Linked DNA regions of Pelodiscus sinensis. The protein of the gene in region 1 purifies or fractionates together with the protein of each later gene. This does not show direct contact. Links are inferred from orthologs where the notes say so. Each region holds a gene or a part of one and is shown on either strand. Other genes may lie near its edges.

Region 1 (10,690 bases):
GTTCTCAACCACCAATTAAGGATGTTAAAATGAGGTTATCCAGCTATTTGTATAGTCGATACAAATTCTATCGAATATCCAATTAGTCGATAGGACTGCTCTGCAGAGCCACAGCAGGGGTAGCTTCAGGAGCAGGCTCAAGCCGGGACTGAGCAGTCCTGGCTCGTGCTGACTCCAGGAGCCACCTGTGCTGTAGCTCTGCATTTTAAATGTAGTAAGAGCTGTCAGGCTCTTACTACATTTAAAATGCAGAGGCACAACAATCAGCAAAAGCCAGTATTGCTCGGTCTCGGCTCACACTGAGCCCAGCAGCCCTGTCTGCTGCAAACAGGGCCTAGTGTTGATGTAGCCTCCGTTCGTGGTGGACAAGGCTGGCTGTCACAAATAGAGGCTGCTCTGGCACCAACCCCTGTTTGTGGCAGCCAGAGCTGATAGAGGCAACAAGGGGGAGTAGGTGGCACCCTGGAGATGGCGCTGAGGGGAACCGGTGGCATCCCCAGAACTGGCTCCTGTTCTCCCCCTTTGCTGCCTCTCATAAAGGCAGCCACAGTGGGAACCGGTGCACCCCCCAGCACCGGCTCCTGTTCCCCCCCTTGCTGCCTTTCTATGACAGAGGCAGCAAGGGGGAGTGGAAGCAACTATATTTATTGGATAGTCGACTACTAATCGCTTACATCCCTATTACCAATACTTTTAATACCAATACCTGCCTGTCAGACTAATTTGAGAATCCCCCACAGGAAATATATCACCCTAGTTAACCTTGTTATCTAGGCACTTGGCCTCAGATAGCTACTGAATATAACTGCAGAGTAATAATCTTTGCTTTCCAATATCAACTGGAAATTTAAAATTGGGAATTTTATGTTTTTAATACAGTATCAGATTCCTTTTTGGAGGGAGAAGGGGGGAGATAACAGGGTGAAGAGTATTAGGCTGCTGTCATTCCCTAATTAAGACAGCAAATACACTACAGGGCTATTCCCAACAACCATGGAGTAGGAATACTGCCTGAGAATCCAGATATAGTGCCAAACAAATATTTTTTAACCCCCGCCAATCTCCTTTCAGATCACATAAGTCACCTGGAAGGTAGGGATGTGAAAGTGGAAAGTGCAATCATGTAGACCCGTGGTCCCCAACCCGGTGCCCACGGGAGCCATGGCGCCCGCCGGGCTCTTTACATGCGCCCGCGGAGCAATCTGGGCTGGCAGGTGCCAGCCCCGGACGCATGGCCGGTCCCGGCCCCGGGGGCGCCGCGCGTGCCCTGGCCGGCTCCGGCCTTGGCCCCACCCCGGGGGCGCCGCGCGTGCCCTGGCCACGGCCCCGGCCCCGCGGCGCTTACGGGGGGAGCACCGGCCCCGGGCGCGCGGCGCTTGCCGGGGGGCACCTTCCCCGGGTGCGTGGCTATGGGGGGGGCCCCGCCCCCGGGCATGCGGCTGGGGGGGGCCGCCCCCGGGCGGGCAAGTGTCCCCGCCCCCTGGCGCCCGGCGGGCGAACGGCCACGCCCCCTGGCACCCGGCAACCTGAAAAGGATGGGGACCACTGATGTAGACAGTTAACCAATGAGACCTACAAGCAGGCTCCTGTGGGGGAGCTGGCTTAAACGCCGGCTCTCAGGGAGCAGCCTGCCACCCTGCATTGCTGTCGCTGTATCAGAGGCAGCAGTGCAGGGGGGGGGCAGGCGGGAACCAGTACATGCAACATGCTGGTTGGCTCCCCCTCTGCACCCCAGCTCCAGGGCAGCCGACTGCCACCCGACGCAAAGACTGACAATTTCAGGGGTGACACGGCGACAAAGATTCTAGCATCCCTCCTGGAAGGGCGGTGTCTGCAGCTCACTGCCCCTGCAAGTCGGCCTCTCCCGGGGCTAACGACCCTCCCGCCCGGATACAGGCGGCGTTACAGCAGGAGAAGCTGTTCGCTCAGGCTGTGCCCCTGCTGCTCCTGCCACGGGCGCGCGGGGCTCGCCCTCGACGCTGGGGAGGGCTGGCCCCGGCACCCCGCGGCTCCCCGCACAGGTGCGCCGAGACCTCGGCCCCGGTGAGTGGGGGGGGGGAGGGAGGAGAGACAGCGGGGGGGGGGGGGAGGGGTCAGCCCCGCCGCTCGGCAGTGCCCTGCCCCACCCCGCAGCCGTTGGGAACAGTCGAACCCCCCCGCCGCAAGGAGAATGGGGAGGAGGGGGCGGGGTCCGGTCGTCGCCCCCCCCGCGTGAGGCAAGTGGGCGGGCCCAGGTACTCGCTGAGGGGAGGGGGCCTGGAAGGGCTCGGGGTGAGCGCGGCGCCGGCACTTACCTAAGGGGGGAGGGGAGGAGGCAGCGGAGCGGGACTCGCGGACTCTGGTCAGTCAACGCGACTCCGCTCCGGGCGGCGGGAGAGGGAGCGGCCGGCGGGGCCCGGCACTGACAAGCGATCCAGGAAATGGCCTTGGAGTCTGCGCACTGGCCACGGGCAGCTCCTACCTCTGCGCCTGCGCGCAGAATCGGGGCGGGGTAAGATCCTGCCACTACGCCTGCGCACGGGCCGGGAGTGGGGAGGAGGGTCCCCCCGCACTCTGCGCCTGCGCGTAGAACTGGAGCGTGTTGAGGCGAGAATTCTCCTTACGCAAAGGCGCTGGGGGGTAGGAGGGAAGGGAGGAAGATAGGAGGGAGCATGCGCAGTGTCGCTAGCCTGAAGGGGAGAGCTGCACATGTGCAGTGGTCAGTCCTGGAGATGAAAGTTGCACATGCGTACTGCGGACTGGTTACTGTTCAATGCAGAGCCAGTTCCAAGGTGGTGGTTGGGAGGTGTGATGGCTTGAGGCAGAGGTTTGGGCCAGGATCACAGGCTGATCCAGCAGCTGTGTGAATTCTGACCTCCTTTGCCAAGGGCTTTGACCTACCAAGCTGTGTAAAAGCTAGGGATTAGTGTAAATCAAACTGGAATGCCATTGTTACCCCTTTTGCACAGCTGGGTAAACTGAGGCACAGAACGGTTAAAGTGACATGCCCAAGTTCAGCTTAGTGGGCAGAGCTGTCTCAGTGTAATAGTGTTCTATTCTCTAGGCAACACTACCACCACATTTATAAAAAGCAGCATTTGGAAAGCCAACAAATTGCAGTGCAAAAAGAACAACTCTGAGTGGTGGGATGGGAAGATTAGAGTGATATGCTATCCCTTAGAAAACTGCTTAGAAAACTCATTTAGTTGTACAGATTAAAGATATGTAATTAGGTCAACTACACATTATGCAACAGGACTGAAATTGCATTTAAATACAGTATTACATTTACAAAATGATTTTCACTGGGAGAGGGATGAAACCAGCTGAACCAGATATATTACAGAGCAACTGTGTTTTTCAGGAGCTTGGATACTATGAATGCAAAACTATTAGGGCCTTGTCTACAACGAAGGTTTTCAGGAAATCTCCCACCTGTACTCCAGCTGAATGCAGGTACAACATGTTCCAGTGCAAATAAATTGCTAGCAGTTTCACCAATACATCTGAGCATCTCTGAATTGGGAGTAGAGGACTTAGTAGCGAAAAGGTCAGTGATCAATTTACACTTCTCTAATATTAGTGGAATGTTACTAATGTGAGAGCAACAGTGGGAAGTTTTCAGGAAAACCTGAATATACATTAGAGATGTAACTGGTTAACTGGTGGCTCAGACAGGCTGGAGAAGCCCCTTCCCCCATCTGGTATGGCGCAGTGGGCCCGGCCTGGACGGAGCAGCCCCTTGCCTGCAGTGGTCTCAGCCTTGCTTGGCTGGAGCAGCCCAAGGCTTGCTGGGCTTGGTCAGGCTGCTTCAGCCCAGCCAGGTCTGCTGTGCTACACCATGCATGCGAGGGGCTACTCCATCCTGGCCAGGCCCAACACACCACAGGGGGAGGGCTGCTCCAGCCTGGCCGGGCTTCAGGGGCCCCCACCCGTGGGATCCCATTTAACTGGTTAAAAGGGCTTTTACATCCCTTGTATACATTGTTTGCTTTTAAGTATTAAGAAAAAATGATTGGCCATAGTTTCAAAATGCAAATGTGTATGTGTGTGGTCTACTGTCCCACCTAGAGGCAGCTAGACCACTTACGAAGAGACTCAGTCTACTCTACAACCTTACCTGAAAGGCAGCTGGCTTTTAGCTCACTCAGTAGAGGCTCATGCACTAAGCTTTAGAGGTCCCAGGCTTGGTTCTGCCTGTCAGAATTACATAAGCATATGCAAACAGGTCTCAGCACGTGCACAACATGGATTGCGCAAAACTGATAATTAAACACATGCATTCGTGGGTGAAAGTATCTATTTTAGAAGTGGAATGTAGGCTTCAGCATTTGAAATGTGTCACTTTCAGGCAAAGGGAAGGAAACGCAACATGTTTGGGGAGGAAAAAAAATAAGATCTGGATTTTTTCCAAGATGCACTTGCTTAAGATTTCAGTACAACATTCACATAAGTTATAATAATTTATCAAAATCAACTTTCATAACCAATATTTGAGTAATCAGACTTCTTTGGTTCACATTTTTAAACATAACAACATAAGACTGGCCATACTTATGGTCCATCTAGCCCAATATTCTGTCTTCCAGCACTGGCCAATGCCGGGTGCTCTAGAGGGAATGAACAAAACAGGGAATCCCTGTCCCCCATTCTTATCTTCTGACAAACAGAGGTTGGGGACACCATTTGTGCAAATTCAGGCTATCCTTATCCTCCATGAATTTACCTACCTCTTTTTTGAACCTTGTTAAAGTCCTGCTCTTCACAACATCCTCTGGCAATGAGTTCCACTGGTTGACTGTGTGTTGTGTGAAGAAAATACAGTAAGTAGTTGTCTAGAACTGCAGCAGAGGTGTAGGCAAGCTGCATTTGCTCCTCCAAGCCACTAAGGATGATGGCTCCAGGCAGGTGGGTGGACTCTCTGTCTTCCTTCTCAGCTCCTGCCTGCTGACATCTAGCCATTATGGAGTTCCCAGGTTGATGTGGCAGGTAGGGAGGTGGAGAGTGCAGGTAATTGCTGCAGGGTTGGGAGGCAGAATTAGGGAGGATAATGCAGAGAGGGAGCAGAATAAGGATGAGGGCTCAAGATTCCTCACATGCCTTGGGACTCTCATTGCCTCCCACCTTGCAGAGGCTTGGCTGGCTTGATTTTTGAAGCAGAAGGCAGACTGGTAGGGAAGAGGACGGGGAAGGAAAAAACTAGCAAGTGGCAGGGTTTATCCCAGGCTCTGCTGAGGGATCCCAGCTGACATTGTGCAGCCGTACCCTAATTACCACCACCTTCATTTTGGGACAACGAGGGTGTTTCCGGCACCAGCATTTTCGGGGCTGCAGCATCGTTCCCCCGGCATCGCCATCTCTAGTTTCAACTGACTCCTCTGCTGAAGGGCAATGCTGACCAGCGCAGAGTCATAGACACGTATTACGGCTGGAAAGGACCCTGAAGAGGTCATCTAGTCCATTCCTCCAGCTGAGGCAGGTTTAAGAATCCCAGACCGTCCCTGACAGGTGTTTGTCTACCAGGGTCTTATAAAGCTCCAGTGACAGGGATTTCACAACCACCTTTGGAAGCCTATTCCCATGTGTAACTATCCTTATAGATAGAAGGTTTTCCTCAGACCCAACTGAAATCTCCTTTGCTGCAGATTAAGCCCATTACTTCTTGTCTTGATATAAGTAAGATCTGAAGGAATGCGTCCATGACAGCTAGCTGGAAGCGGGGAGAGACCCTGGGTCTATGTCAGTGGTCCCTGCCGGCGCCATGGCGCCCGCTGGGGCATTTATGTGCACCCATTGAGTGACCAGGGCCGGCCCAAGCCATTCTTGCACCCCGAGCATGTGGTGCATGCTCAGCCTCTGCCCCAGGCGCGCGGCGTCAGCCCCAGACACATGGCACAGGTGCGGCCCCACCACTGGGTGCATGGTTCATGCACAGCCCCACCCCCAGACGCGCCCGGCAGCCTCAAAAGGTTGGGGACCACTGGTCTACGTCAATACAGTTTGCTTCTGCTTTGCTTAGATTTGTTGGGACATTCAGCATAGGGAGTGGTATTTTGCTCATCGTAATCAACTTAATTTGTAACCCGACACCAGCTATGTTTATATTAAATGCAGGACAGCTGAAATATGATTATCAAGGTTTGTAATTTTGTGGGAATACAGAAGAGTAGGACTGTGCTATGTTGTTCCAAATGAAAGGGCTTGCAGCAGAAAGAATCTTGCGAATGCAGGGTCTCGACTTTCAGAATCCTGTAAGGGTAGGGGATGAGGCAGGGATAGGCAAACTTTTCCAACCAAAGAGCCAAACTACATCAACATTCAGAATAAGTGGTCAAGAGCCATATAAGAATGCCTGAAAATATACAACTTAATATTATTGATAATTGACATGATGAATAATAGCATAAATGAAACATTGGAGTCTGGTTTGGGATCCATGAGGGGTTCAGGGTGTGTGGGAGGGTGCAAGAGGCAAGGAACGGTAGTAAAGTATGTGAGGGGCTCTGGGGTGAATTACCTTACCTGGCTGGGGCTGGACCAAGCTCAGCCAGTCCTAAGGACTGACTTCCCTCAGCCCTGCCTTTTCTGGAGGAGGTGGAGCTGCCCTCCACCTTGTCCTGAGACAGCCCTGCTGGATGTAGGGGTGTCTGATCAGGATGGAGGGTGCAAGAGCTGGCAGGGGTCTTGGCCAGGTTCTATGGATGGGGGGAAGCACCGACTAACAGGAGCAGTGGGGAAAGCCTCCAGGTTGCATATCCATAGGTTGCCATTCCCCTGAAGGCTTTTCTTTCCTCACCAGCAGGAAGATGGTGGTGGTGCTCTAGCCTTTGGGTGTGTGGGGACACAGGTGGGACTTGAACCCACAATTGCAGGAGCTAATGCCCTATCCATTAGATCACTGGGACCCACCTCACCACTGTACCTTCAGCTGATGCTCCTGGCCCTAGCAAAGACCACCATCTATAATACCAGGAGCAGGATGTTGGACGAGGGGGTTCTCTGCGACTGTGGGGCCTATTTCCGTTCCTCCCTGGTTTCACGAATCCGGGCAGAGTTCCTCTGGGCGGCATCCACTGGCTCCTTCGATAGCTTTGAGGAGCAGTGGGCGCTGTCCGGGGTTTTCTGCTCGGTGTCCCCATCCGGCTCCCTTATTTTGAACCTTTAGCCCGCACTCCCTGACCCTTTTGTCATTATTTGTCCCAAGCAATTAATTGGACATGGGTCCAGTGTCCCTCCCGTAAGGCTGGGGAGGGGCTTTTAGAAGGTGGGCGGGCTTTGCCCACCCTCCCATGATTTCCAAATAGGACCTTCAGCTGATGCCTTATCCATTAGGCCACCCTCTCCCCTACCTTCAGCCCACTCCTGCACCCAGCAGGGCCGACTGGGTCAGTTTAAGGATGATCTTCAAGTGAGCTCTCAGCATCGCCCCAGTCCCATCCTGATGTTCCTGGGTTTAGCCAAGAAACACCAGTTACAAACAAGCTTTTCTGCTTGCACCGCTGCTTAGCCCGTGCAGCTGTCAATGGGACACTGCACCCACTCAAAGGCAGCGCCACGCAGCTCAGCAAGGAAACCAGCTCAGACATTTTGTTGCTGTTTATAAGTGCAGGTCAGTGGGCACTAGGCCGCTTCAGGCGGGAGCTCTCCAGGGACTGCAGCAGGACGCCACTTGGCTCCTGAGGTACCTGCGAAGAGGAGGAGTCTGGTGAGGTTTGCAGCCCCAGTGCGTGGGCCTGATGCATGTGTGGGGATGGGGCCAGGCCCCACAGGGCAGAAACAGGCTGTGGGCAAAGTGGGCCCGTGGGACCTGACACTGGGGGCTCAGACTCAGCTTCACTTCATCCACGTCAGAAGTTCTAATGTGTAAGGAGAATCATCACTGCAGCCGGCACTGGCAGGTCAGACCCCTCCCGCCATGGCTGCCACCTTCCACCCCAAGCAGGACACCTCAGACCCACCTGATCCATCCCCTCACCACCAGAGCAAAAGGCTTGTCCCCAGCCTCGCCAGGACACCTCAATCCTCACTTCTCCTCTTGGCTCCCATGAGGAGGACCCACCCCCAGCACCTGAAGCAGCTTGGGGCCCATCTTCCACCACACTCACCTCCCACACCAAGCCACAGAGGAAAGGGGAGTAGGGGATGCGGCTGCTGCTATTTGTAGTTCAGGTGCCTCAACAAGCACCGCCCCTTCTCACCAGCAACCAATAAAAGGTGGGTCCTGGGACATGCAATGGTTTGACATCAGCTGGTCCTTGTATAGTCCAGCCTGTGAGGCAGGGTGGGAATGACTAGGGGACGGGGTTACATTGGGCCAACTAGGCCCGAACTGGGGCCTGCAAAGCCCACTTAGGCTGGCTTTGGTCAGTCTGCATCTAGGCTCCCCCCTCCCCCGAGATAATGGCTCTGGCTCTGTGCCCCCCTAGACTCAGAGGGGCTGAGATGACCTCAGTGGCAGAGCCTTGGGTTGGAAGCAATCTGGGTTGAATGTAGGGGCACCTGTGCCAAGCCTGTCTGAGTCAGACAGCTTACCTGGGAGCTTGCTCAGATTTACCAACTCCAAACCCAGCGACCATTGATCTCTTGCCTCTAAGCAGGGGCACTTACTCTGCCTGCCTTGTGCAAATTGGTGAAATGCCAGCTCTGAGATTCTGGGATATATGCATTTTAATAGGCAAGAACTTCAGGATGATGACAACTAAATGAGGAGATGCATAAATGCCAGGTATTTCTTGTGTCTTACATACAAGTTCACACCTGTTACAGCTAGGCTGTGTCTACACTGGGCCACTTATTCCGGAAAATCAGCCGCTTTTCCGGAATAAGCTGCGAGCTGTCTACACTGGCCCTTGAATTTCCGGAAAAGCAATGATGCTCTACTGTACAAAATCAGCCACTATTCCGGAAAAACTATTCTGCTCCCAATCGAGCATAAGTCCTTTTTCCGGAACACTGTTCCGGAAAAGGGCCAGTGTAGACAGACCAGTAGTCTTTTCCGGAAAAAAGCCCCGATCGCGAAAATGGCGATCGGCTCTCTTTTCTGGAAAAGCGCGTCTACATTGGCCACAGACGCTTTTCCGGAAAAAGGGCTTTTCCGGAAAAGCAGCCTGCCAATGTAGACGCTCCTTTTCCGGAAAAACTGAAAACGGAATAGTATTCCGTTTTAAGCATTTCCGGAAATTCATGCCAGTGTAGACACAGCCCTAGGGATGAAAGGTTAACCAGGTAACCGGTCAACATATGCCTTACCAGCATCTTTACCAGCTAACCAGTTAGCCAGAGCTTCCCCCACATGACAGCCCAGTCAGCAGGGCCATGATACGTTGCGGGCCTGGAGCAGCTCCTGTCATCCATGGTGGAGCTATGGCAGTCCCTGCCACTTGCAGCTGTGGTGGGGAAGGAGCAGCCCATGCCAGCCATGGCTGCAGCGAGCATGGCCCAGAGCAGCTCCCTTCACCCGCAGCTTGTGGTTGACTGGTTAAACAAACCATTTAACTAGTTAAACTATTCTGGGTGGTTTTTACATCCCTAGTTACAACACCCAAGAATATTATTTTTCCAAGATTATCACACTCTAGGCTCAAATTCAGTTTGTGATCCTGTAATTAGTCCCAGATAATTTTCAGCAGTTCCATTGCCTCACCAGTAATTTCCCATTTTGTAGCTGTGCATGTGATTTTTCCTTCATTAGTGAAGAATTTTGCACTTATTTTTATTGAATTTCATCTTGTGGATTTCAGACCAATTCTCCAATATGTCTAACTCGGTTTGAATTGTAATCCTGTCCTCCAAAGTGCTTGCAACCCCTCCTGCCTTGTGTCATCTGCAAATTTTATGAACATAGTCTCCATCCAGTTCATTATCCAAATCATTAACCAAAGGTTGTTTAGTACTAGACCCATGACAGATGCCTACTGAACCCTACTAAATATACTCTCCATTATCAGCGACTACACTGATAAATGCTCTTTGAATAGGGTTTTTAAAAGAAGTTGTGCATCCATCTTACTGTAATTTCATCTAAATCACATTTTCCTGTTTGCTTATGAGAATGACATATGGAACTGTGTTAAAAAGCCTTTCTAAATTCCAGGTATATCATGTCCACAGCTTCCCCCTCATCCACTAGATCAGTAACCTTATCAAAGAAGCAATTGGGTTGGTTAGGCATTGATTTGTTCTTGACGAATCTTCCTCCAAATGTTTCTTGGAACTGTCACTGTCCCACCCAGTAGTGCTACTGGAGCTGTATCTACATGTGCTCAGACACTTTTGATCCTGCCTCCCTTAGCTACACGAATCTTGGATCCCAAGCATCACACATTTGAAACTATTGTAAGGAGAATCTGATACACACAATTCAATGTGTTTTTTCCACCTCAGGAGAGTGTGTGCTAGTAAATAGTAGTGTCTGTGTTGGTGACACTGATTGTCCAAAGCCACATTTTGATTGTCTGGGCCTTTTTCTTGATGTCACAATATGATGTGTACTACAACACCACTATGCAGCTTTTAGCATTGTGTTCACACAGTCTTGTTGCTAAAAGTCAGCTTGTGTAAATGCTGTTAGTGGCCACTGTTGCTGAGTTAATACTTCCACCTCATATGAAGGGGTTTTGGCTTTGTTGGCAGGGAAGAAGAAGCCCTAAGAACCCATGAACGAAAAAAGTTTTGTGGACCAAGTGCAAGTGTAGATGTATCCTTAAAGTGC
Region 2 (10,979 bases), on another chromosome or scaffold:
TTGGGATCAGAAATTACTCTTCTGGATCCCATGTACCTGAACAAGGATCAAGCAGCTTTGCAATGAACACATTAGGCCCCAGTTTGCATTTCTCCGATTACCAAAAGGCAGCTATTATATTGCGATAGCTACAATCACTTTCTCCTCAGCCCCAATAGGTTACAACGGGATTTAACTATACAGCCCTTTCTACCTTTCCTCATCAAAATATCAGGTCCAAAACAGGAAAGCTTCACTTCATCCTTACATGCGTCATATGACTGTGTTGTGATGCCTTAGAGTTTAGACAATTCTACAGCATAAACTCTCCCATTGGGGACTTGAATGATCGAAGTAAACCAAGATAAACCGTAAATGTGACATAGGAAAAAAATATTCAACTCACTGGATGGATATTCTGATTTTTGAGCCAAAACTTGCTCTTCTACCATATTTGCTGCTGTGGGGTTCAGAGTTTGACCAGGAGAAGCACGGTCCAGTTTCCATTAATAGCTGCACCATCTTCTCGAACATACAGCTTACAATGAACACTGCCTGGTTAGCCAAAGAATTAAGACACTGCCCTGAGTCCCTCAGCAACTGCTTGGAAAGTCAGGTCAAAATCTGCCATGATTATACATGAATGCAAGTCATCCTAAACAAAGACTTCTGTATGTGTCACTGAAATCTTTTGAGTACACCAAATACTCCTATTAGAAATAAAATGGCGTCTCTTGTTACCCAAACAACAACAGGAAATCAGATATGTATATTTTGTCAGATATGAAAGAGGAAGCAAGAAGGCAAGCTGAGACACAGACCCTACCCCCAGGGCAGCAGTGGCATTTGGTTGTTTTGGTCATTGTACCAGCATTTTGCACACCCACAGCAAGCAGTCACTGGCTGTTGGACTTAAACCGTTTTTCTGGCAGTCAAGACACGGACAATGGACCCTACACCTCCAGCAGCGAGAGCCTGGAGGGAGAGAGGAGGAGGAAAGAAAAAAAAGAGAAGTAATAGTTAATACAAGCCATGATAACCACAGATGGAAACAGTTACTACCTGGACTTCAGTGAGTTTCATCTGAACACTGCAGTGTGCTCTATAGATACTAAAGATCAGCTTTCTTCAATCAGGAAGCATTACTATATTCATTTTATATAGGGAAATGGACCGAAGCATTAGATAATTTGCATAAGTCAGTCACTGGGGGTATTAGGAGTCTTGGGTTCTATTCCTAGCTACGTTCCCTGTTTTAACCTTTAGATTAGTGTGCTCTTGTACGGAGACAGTATAGCTTTTAGGAAATGTACAATGGATCATTTTCATTCGTATCTAATACACAATAAAACTTCATCTCTAGAGTTTATGTGAATCAATATATAATAGGAAGTGTGCATTAATTTCACATGGTTCTCTAGGGTACCATGTCCTTTCCACCCCAACTGTTGTAATATGAATAATAGACTTAAGGGAAAGAAGGATGATTCCTATTGGACTCAAGACAGAATCCTGGATGCCAGAGTCTCTGTCCATGCAATTATCCAGCCAAAAGCAACAGACTTCACACACCTTTTCATGCCACTGCAATAACACAGCACTGCTGTTGTCAGAGGGGCTCTCAAACCCCTTGTAGATGTATTTCATTAGCAGATCAACTCCATTCTTGTCCAGAGACTGTACTGCCTTTTCAATATCATTGGCTTTGAATGAGATGAGGACTTTTAGGACGATGCTTTCTGCACGATCCTGTAAACAAGGGGAAAAGTCATAACTTGGAATAACATGACAGACAGCCAAATGTTAATGATCTCCCAGGAGGTAAAGCTTTATTCTTAATTCAAAAAGCCAAGGCAGCTCGAACACATACCAAGTTGTCAAGCATACTGTTCAACAGACATTCACCTCTGCCCTACGACAGTATGACCTCCATGGACTTTGCTATAGCCATTTAATTCTAAATAAATTTCAATTTACAGTTAACATATGCAATTAATTTGAAATCAAGTTTTAGATAAATTAAAGGGCAGCACATCGCCACTGAGGTGAAAGAAGCTAGTCTCAAACAAGAGACTCATTCTCGTCACTGCATTTGTAACAAGTTTGTTCTAGGTTTCTATCTTTGCTTATTAAGACTAGCTTTTGTTTGCAGGACTCCACCCATAGCATAAGGGTGGTACTGAACTTTCTCTCTTGACTGGACAGTTCAAAAGTCGTCGGAAATTACAGGTCTGATTGGCTTCCCTCTCACCAACTAAGCAACCTCTTATTTTTACATTGTCTAGATGGACAGCACTTCTGTGGGCCAAAAGAGATCTTAAAGGAGAAGTATTTCTACTGAGCACGGAGTTCTGTTCAGCTGAGATCTATTTTTACTCTGCATTATCTTTCTCTTCCCTCACTGAGTACTGTATTATAACTAAGGAAGTTAAAATGTGTTTATTTAGGTAAATGTATAACCTCTGAACACTTCAGCAGTTACATGCAGGGGGAGGTGGCTGCCATCTGGACCCCTCTTCCCTCCTCCCTGCCAGAGAGGAAGCAGCACCAGGCCTGGGGTGAGGGGAAGCATGGAGGGGAAGTTGGCTCCCTGGGAGCTGGTACGCATGGGAAGCCAGCTTAAAAATTCCTTGTTAGCTAGAACTATGGACTGGACACAGCCAGTCAGTGCTTACTAGTCTGAGGTGATTTTTTTGGTAAGTTCACGGGCCATGTATCGCTTTAAGTCCAAGATACGTTACAAAAAAACCTTGGATTTATAGCAAAACAACTTGAAGCAGGGAATTCCCCCTCCCCCTCCAGCTGACTTTCATTTGTGCATTTTTTTTTTTGCACAACTGAAGAGCGGGGAAATGAGAGGACTAATCATGCCTCTGTTCCTACAAGCTTAAATGACTAGTGCAGAATGGATGTGTATGAGGGATGCCCTGTACTTGGGCTGAGTATACAGGAAGAGCTTAATCACCTCAGAGAGGAACAGTGAGCAATCTGTAGAAGTCTTAGGGAATTAGGAAAGAATTTACAGCATGGCACATGAATGTGAGTTATTAACTACTTCACCTTTACTGCTTGGTTCTTGGTATTGATTGGAGGATTCTTTAGGGCTGCCTGCAATGCAGCCATCATGTTTCCTGTAAACATGAGTTAAGGAAAGATGGGGAAACAAGGACATAGAAAGCAGCAGAGATAGTCACAATAGAGTGGGATTCACAAGTAACCTGTTTCTTACTGGGAATATCAAGCATGGATTTGTGGAGAGAATATTTTCCATACTGTTGCACCTACTGAAGTGTTCAAAGTAGCAAGTATTACCCAGTCATTTAAAGCAATGGGATCAATACTAAGGTGGTACAGTTGTCAGCATCAGAGTGCACCAAATCACACAACAAAGATCCAAATATAAATAATTCTAAGTTGACCCCTTTTATCTTCAAACTCCACACAGATTGGCAAAATATCATGCAACAAGTTATAACATGGCTGTTTGACACACACACACACACGAAAAGAAGATGTGATTGCTGAAACAAGCTGGTGAATGAGAACATACTTTGTACATACATCGGAAAAATATCATCAGTTAGGGCCTCAGATTGACCTTTCCTTTCCTGTTGATGTTCAATCTATCAGTCAATTCATCACACTGTAGTTGGTTATGATTCAGAAGAGTTTTCTATTAAGATTCTTATACTGCATCATCTAGAAACCTCCCAGTAGTGCATTAAGTGACACAACTAATGGGTATCACCAGGGCTCGCCGAACTGCGGCGAGCCCTGCTTGCCAGCTGCGCTGTCTGGTGATCTGCACATGGGCCTTCCAGGTTACAGTCTACTCACCATGGGCGAGTAGATTGTATTATTTGTCGAGCCCTGGGTATCAGAGGGGAGTACTCAACTTTGGAAGCCCCAGGGGCCACAATGATACTTACAGCACATGCTAAGGGCTGCAACTTAAGCGTGATTGCGTATACATGCAAATTTATATGCAAATAGCTTCTTTCACACTGACGGGCATGAATACAAAGATTAAGGCAAGACTACATAACACGCAGGTCCCATTTAAGTCAGTTCAGGTGAATATTGCATTTTATTAATATCAGCAGATTTTCACCCATACGACAGCACTTTTAATGAACAATGAGAGTCCAGGAATTTAACTACTAACACATATCAACAGAAGACCATTATATGGAGTTGCTGTTGTGGAGCATGTTCCTAACGGAAGCCCTGTTCAAAGGACCCGCAACGCTGAGCGCAAACAAACGGGCTGCATGCAGCCTACGGGGCGTGTGCCTTGAGTAGCCCTGTTATAGAACAATGAGATCCCAAGACTGCCTCCATTATTGTCATGAACTAGAACAAAACATGCTCTAGAAACACAGCTAATTCAGGCTTCCGGCAGATTGTACAGAAAAGGATACTAAGCAGCTCCCATTTGAATTTTCTTAAAGGGTCTTATGGTTTTGAGCAAACATTTCCCTTTTGTTTTTTTTCCCCTCCAGGTTTTTCCCCTCACCTCAAATTTGAAACCATAAAACCCACTTACAAGCTAACCTTATCAAGCGCAGCCTCACCCAGAAAGGGCACATCTGAAGCTAAAGGCACTAATATGTGGAAGTAAAAAGCAACTAGATTATCACAGACTAGGTGCAATTATTCCCATAAAAGGAAAACTTCACAGAGAACACACTTCCTCCAACTCTGCAGTGCAAGAGGGGTTTGGGGGCAGGGCTCTTTCGCTGGCCCTCCCTCCTGCTCTCGTGAGGTCAGACAGGACCACATCCTCCAGCGCATGCATGCCCATGAAAACTGGGAACCAAAGAGCTGGCGGATATGAACTTACATACAGGTCTAACGGTCTCTCTGGGCAGCAGGGCGCTCACCCCAGGGCCTAGACACAGGCAGGCCGGGGAATTGAAGGCTGTTTGTAACAAGTTGCCTAGACGGGCCTGGGGGTGAGGACCGAGCACCCCTGGGCTGTCAGCGCCCCCCAGCCCTGCACGTCACTCTCTGGGGCCGGGCGGGCCGGCCCCGCTCGCAGCCTGCTCCCGGGGGCGCAGCTAAGAGGCAGGGCTGCGGGACGCGGCGGGGGCACGGAGGAGGCCGCCCCTGTCCACGCCGCAGAGCCCCGGCAGGCTCAGGGCCGGGGGCGCAGCGTCCCGCCTGTGCCCTCGGGTCCCCCGGGCTCGCGACAGGGCTGGGCGCCCCTCCCCCGTCCAGGCCGGGACTCTTTCCCCGGCGCCCGCGGAAGGATATTGCCGCAGGCAGGAGTCCACCTCGCCCTCGTCGGGCCCGGCCTGGCCGTCGCCTCCCTCCTCCTCGTCCACGAACTTGTTCTCGTCGTACTCGTCCACGTCCACCCGGCGGAAGCGCGCAGACGACACCGTGTTCTTCGCCATCGCCCCGGAACCTGCCGGCGCCTCCCGCCCGCTCCCCTCCGCAGGGCGGTGCCCGCCCCCTGCTGCCCGCAGCAAGCAGCAGCGCGCATGCGCAGCGCACAGCGCTCCTTCCGCCTCTCACTTCCGATCATGCGCACTAGGAAAAAGTCGCTCGAGCGACTTTCTCTTCCTACGGTTTAGCCGCTCGCGCTTGACACTCGTGGGTGAGCGCATGCGCCTCGCAATGCCGCCTCTCTCTTTTTTTTTTTTTTTTTTTTAAACGCACGCGCACTTTAAAACCGCACCCCTTCTTCTCTGCGCATGCGATCTGCACGGACTTCCTTTTTCCTCTGCGGCAGCCGGCGGGCCCTTGAGCGCAGACGCAGAACAGGCAAGTGGGCGGAGGAAGGCAGGGTCGGGGAGGAGCAGGTGAGTTGTTGCGATTGGTCGGCAGGGGGTGGTCACGTGCTCTCCTGGGCCGAAGGGGGCCCGTTTCCATGGGAGCGGCCTCCCGTCGCTAACGGGCGCTCGCAGTAGGGTGGGTCGTGGCGGGCGGGGTGTGAAGCGCCGCTACCGGCCCCGCCGCGCTCGGCTGAGTCGCTGCCCCACACGTGGGTGTGAGGCGCGGGGACGCGCCGGGAGCCCCCTGCCCCCCTCCGTGCTCAGGGGCGAGCGCGCCGCCCCCCAGGTCTGTCTCCCAGCGCCGGTCAGTGGGGCTCCCGGCCCGAGCGCTTCCCCTGCGGACTCCCCGCCTAGCCCCCGGGAGCAGGCCTCGCGCTCGCAGACCCGTTTTCTAGATGGGGAAACTGAGGCACAGAGGCTCAACCGTTGAGCGCTGCCCCATGTCTCTGGTTGCCGCGGTTTCTCCAGGTGGGCAGGTTTCAGTGTCACTCGTCTCCTTTCGGTGCGGGCACGCTCAGCCTCGCTGGCAAGCTCACCCACCGTGCCCCAGACCAGGCTCATAAATAAATTAGGTGCCCACAAGAAGGGGCCCCTTTGGAAATGTGGGTGGTAGTGAGTGGGTCGTGGTGAATCAGTGGTAGAACTGAGACTAAAACCCAAGCATCTGGACTCCCGGTTCCTGCTTTTTTCTGCAAATAGTAATCCCCGTCTTTATATTGCTATAAACATCTTTAAATGATCTTTGAGGCCTATGAAGATCAGATTGAATTGAAGTATAAATTATATTAGTATTGTATGTAAAATAGACATTAGTAAATGTGAGTAAAAAATCTGAGTTTACAAAAAGTATTTTGCAGAATCTAATACGAATCATGATACTTGCATAATACTCAAAACATACATTGTTTTAGCAGATTAAACGTTGTCCCGTGGTACTGGGAATCCAAACGCAAAAGCATTAGGTTAATGCTATACAAGGAGAAAGTGAAATGGACTTTTACAGTGCAAGCTGAGGAAGTACAGAGAGTGAAGTAATATAGAAATAGTGAAAAGTACATTTTAAAAAAAACCCTCGATATTAATAACATAAGAACGGTGAGACTGAGTCAGACCCAAGGTCCATCTGTCTCAGTATTCTGTCTTCTGACTGTGGCCAATGCCAAGTGTCCCAGAGGGCATGAACAGAACACGTAATCATCAAGTGATTTCTCCCCTGTCACTCATTCCCAGCTTCTGATAAACAGGCTCAGTGCACTATTTCTGTCCACCCTGGCTAATAGCCAAAACTAGACTTATCCCCCATGAATTTATCTAGTTCTTTTTTAAACCCTGTTAAACTCCTGGTCTTCACAACATCTAGCAAGGAGTACCACAGGTTGACTGCATTATGTGAAGAAACACTTCCTTTTGTTTGTTTTAAATCTGTCAGTTTAATTCAGTGACCTTTCTTGCATTATGGGAGCAAGTGCATAATTTTTCCTTATCTACTTTCTCCACACTGGTCATGATTTTATAAAACTTTATCATATCCCAATTTAGTCTTCTCTTTTCTAAGCTTAGTCTTCCTTTTCCAGTCTTTTTAATCTCTCCTCATATGGCAGCCATTGGCAACCAAAATGATAAGGGGCTTACCTTTTCTGAACTTTTTCCAATGCCAATATATAAAAAAATCTTTCAAAATATTTTATCACATGTTCCCTTAACTGTATTTTGTCATGTTTTAAAAATACAATTAAGTGATGTCAGTGGGAGTTGAAGTAGGCCCCGGAGCACTTAACGTTGTTAAGATATAGAAGCAAGGAGTTCTACGGATGTAAGCAAGTAGTTGACTAGTTGAGTAACAGATAAGCCTAGGCTTATTGGTTAATTTAGTTGACTACTTGCTTCTTCCCCCTTGCTGCCTTTTTGAGGGTCTGTCTACACTTTCACCCTCTTTTGAGAGAGGGATGCAAATGCAGCTGAGCGAAATTGCAAATGAAGCGTGGATTTGAATTTCCCATGCTTCATTTGCATTATCGCAGTCTGCCGCTATTTTGAATTACCCTATTTTGAAATAACAAACGCTGTGTAGACGTGATTATTTCGGGAGAAAACCCTTCTTCTGAAATAACCCTTATTCCTCATACAGCGAGGTTTACCGGTTATTTTGTTCTGGCCGTGCAGGCAACCAAGCTCATTCTCATCTCCCACTAAGTCTGGGACCTACTCCTGCTGCAGCTTTGCCATTTTAGGGTATGTCTAAACTACATCCTTTTTATCGAAAAAGGGATGCAGTTTAGACATAGCCTCAATGTACTAAGAGCCAAGCGGATAAGCAGCCCGGCTCTTCCTGCATCTAAAATGCAGAGCTGCAGTGGGGGTAGGTTCCAGACCTGGCTTAAACCGGGACTGAGCTGGGCTGCCTGCCCACCTGGCTCTTAGTACATTTAAACTGCAGAGCCACAGAGGGGGTAGGTCCCAGATCTGGTGCAAGCTGGAACTGGGCCGAGCTGCCTTTCTTTATTAGCTAATCAAGTAGTTGATAAAAATTCTGTCCACTACTTGATTAGCCATTAACCGCATCTTACCATCCTTAGGGAGTTCTGATACTGAGACCCTAACCCTTCCCAGACTACGGAACATGCTTGACTTCATTCAAGTATATTGTACAACTGAAGTGAAAGTACAGTAAAACTCCGGTGGTCCGGCATCCAGTGGTCCGGTATGCCTGATGGTCCGGCACCAACTGCAACCCGGAAGTGCTCTGGCAGTTGCTTCAAGTTGTTAGAGTAATTGATTAACTGCGGCAGGATCCACAGCCGACACGCAGTTAATGTAACTTTCCTCTCTACTGCCGGGAGGAGGGGGGGGGGTAGGGGTCGGTGGGGGAGGAGGAGGGGGCGAGGGTGTGCCAAAGCAGCCGCATTCAGGACGTTCTGGTCAGTTACAGTCACTCCGGCTGGATCCACAGCCAACACGCTGTTAATGTAACTTTCCTCTCTACTGCTGGGAGGGGGGAGGATGGGGGGGGGGCAGGGGTCCCTCTCCCACCGACCCCTACCTTCCCCTGCCCCCCCCTCCTCCCGGCAGTAGAGAGGAAAGTTACATTAACTGCGTGTCGGCTGTGGATCCAGCCGGAGTGACTGTAACTGACCAGAACGTCCTGAATGCGGCTGCCTGCCTGTCACCGCCTCTCCTCTCCCACCACTCGCAGGCTCTGCCTCCCTGCAGCAGGAGGGAGGGTTTGGCACACCCCCGCCCCCTCCCCCGCTTCCCCTCTGACGAGACCCGCCCCTGCCAGAGTACCTCCTGATAGTCCGGCATTTCTGATAATCCGGCACCACCTGGGTCCCAAGGGTGCCGGATTATCGGAAGTCTACTGTACTCAGCAACTTGCAGTATCAAGCATCAGAGGGGATAGTGTGCATTTCTTGGATACAGAATTTGTGTTGCTATGTTGCATGGAAAAGTGAGAAGCTAAGTGGAGTTACCAACTTTTCTTTAGTTGCAGTATTTTATAACATTAAATATTAATAACAAATAATTGTATAGTGCTTTCAGTATTGTAATAATTTAAGCTTCATACTGTATATAATTTCAGCACTACCTTTTCAAACTTTATATAAAAGTTTCATATAATTCTGTTATATTTTTAAATATAACTTAAAAATCATACTATGTGAACTTCTGGGAGGTGAGAGGTAGCAGCCTTGGAGGGTGAAGGCTTTTTTATTCACAGGATCGGTACTGAGAGCATAGTATTTCCCAGGTTATGCCCACTCTTAGCTGAAGGAATCATTTCTGCAGATCCAGGTAGAGTTTGGGCCATATTGTCCATTTCATCTTTGCCATATGCTGATGCTTCTAATAAAGATATTAATTATGCTGGTGTCTTGTATAATGTGGATATCTCTCTGGTGAAAATCGGATTGAGACCCGTCAATTCCATTTTTTGTACATCACTAAAAGTCATTAGTGGGTCCTGAATTTTCATCATTACTGGCCTAGTTTGGATTTAAATGAGTATTCAAAAGGTAAAAGTTTCCAGATCCACAACATCAGTTTTCTGACCCATCTAGACCCCCTGCTTGTATATTAACTTTCGTAAGAGATGCCTTTACTTCTTTTCCCCCCTTTGATATCTGTAGTCTTACTACTTAAAAGTCGTTCAGTGATTTCTACCATCTGAATCGGTCTTCCATGGGAAAAGGTTTGTGAATGACTGGTATCATTAGATAACCCCTTAGACATTTTTAAATGCCTTACAATATTGTTAGGTTTGAGATCTGAATATTGCCCTCCAAAGGGCAGAAACTTGCTTGCAAAAGGTACCAAATGGCTGTGAGTCAGTCATAAGTGGTGGCAATCTGCCATCCATCATTGCTGAAGGTGGGTGAGCAAAATAATATTTGCTGCAAATTCTACCGATCTTTTTGATTTTCATATATGTTGCCTGGGGAGATGCTTTCATGAAATAAGATTTCATTCCTGTTATGTTGTTAATTGTATGTGAATTTTGATGATCAGCTAACGCTCTTGCAGGTAAAACTGGATAGTAAAGGGTTGCTTCTGGCATACCACTCACAAAATTGCAAAGGAGGGAATGTCAGATCCTACCACATAATGGGTTCAGAGTCACATAAGGCCATAAGCTGGCAAGGCTTCGTAAAGCTTCACAGTTCCATATGGACACAGGGAAATCATCCTCAGTGTAATAAAGCTGAGAGAAATAAATACAGAAGATAATGTCTCGGTACTTTGTCAAGAAGTTGTAGATCTTGCTTATGCAGCAGTGCTCAGCCTCATTACAAGGAGAATAGTTTGAATAAAGAATTATATACCCAATGCCGTCATAATCGTATGTAACTACATGCAGATAACCACACATCTCAAACAACATAGACTCTGGATGGATGTTACACTTAAGGCAGTTGGTTGCATGGCCCTTTTGGACTAGTGTCCCAGTAGGGTTGCCAGATGGTTGAAACAAAAATTCTGAACACTCTTCTCCCCCCCCCCCCCCCAAAAAAAAAAACCACCAGGAAAAAATTCTGTTGAAGGGGGGGAAAAAGGGAGGGGGAGAGACCAAAGTAGTTGAGCAAAAAATAAAATAAAATAAAACGGCATTAAAACAGCATGTCCCCTTTAAGAGTGAGTGCAGGGATAGGAACAGGGGAGGAGTTGAGCACTAAGACCCAGTGGAAGCATTGCTTCCCCTTGGTCGGCAGTCATTTTGTGCAG

Evidence for each region. The genes of interacting proteins can lie anywhere in the genome.
Region 2: the proteins of ARPC1A (region 1) and ARPC5 fractionate together in Homo sapiens (co-fractionation; 8 studies listed by BioGRID and IntAct, counting the BioPlex papers as one, with this or other methods). This does not show direct contact. The link is inferred for Pelodiscus sinensis from reciprocal best matches to the Homo sapiens genes ARPC1A and ARPC5.

The regions. Positions count from the first base shown.
Region 1 is NC_134726.1:31,935,817-31,946,506, reverse strand, and holds the start of ARPC1A (actin-related protein 2/3 complex subunit 1A), read right to left. Parts: upstream 4,124-10,690; 5' UTR 4,100-4,123; intron 3,530-4,099; exon of another isoform or gene 3,344-3,529; intron 2,466-3,343; exon of another isoform or gene 2,295-2,465; intron 2,044-2,294; exon of another isoform or gene 1,879-2,043; intron 1-1,878. UniProt on the Homo sapiens protein: Probably functions as a component of the Arp2/3 complex which is involved in regulation of actin polymerization and together with an activating nucleation-promoting factor (NPF) mediates the formation of branched actin networks.
Region 2 is NC_134719.1:57,210,011-57,220,989, reverse strand, and holds the start of ARPC5 (actin-related protein 2/3 complex subunit 5), read right to left. Parts: upstream 5,476-10,979; 5' UTR 5,379-5,475; coding exon 5,236-5,378; intron 3,113-5,235; coding exon 3,040-3,112; intron 1,729-3,039; coding exon 1,552-1,728; intron 955-1,551; coding exon 892-954; 3' UTR 1-891. UniProt on the Homo sapiens protein: Component of the Arp2/3 complex, a multiprotein complex that mediates actin polymerization upon stimulation by nucleation-promoting factor (NPF).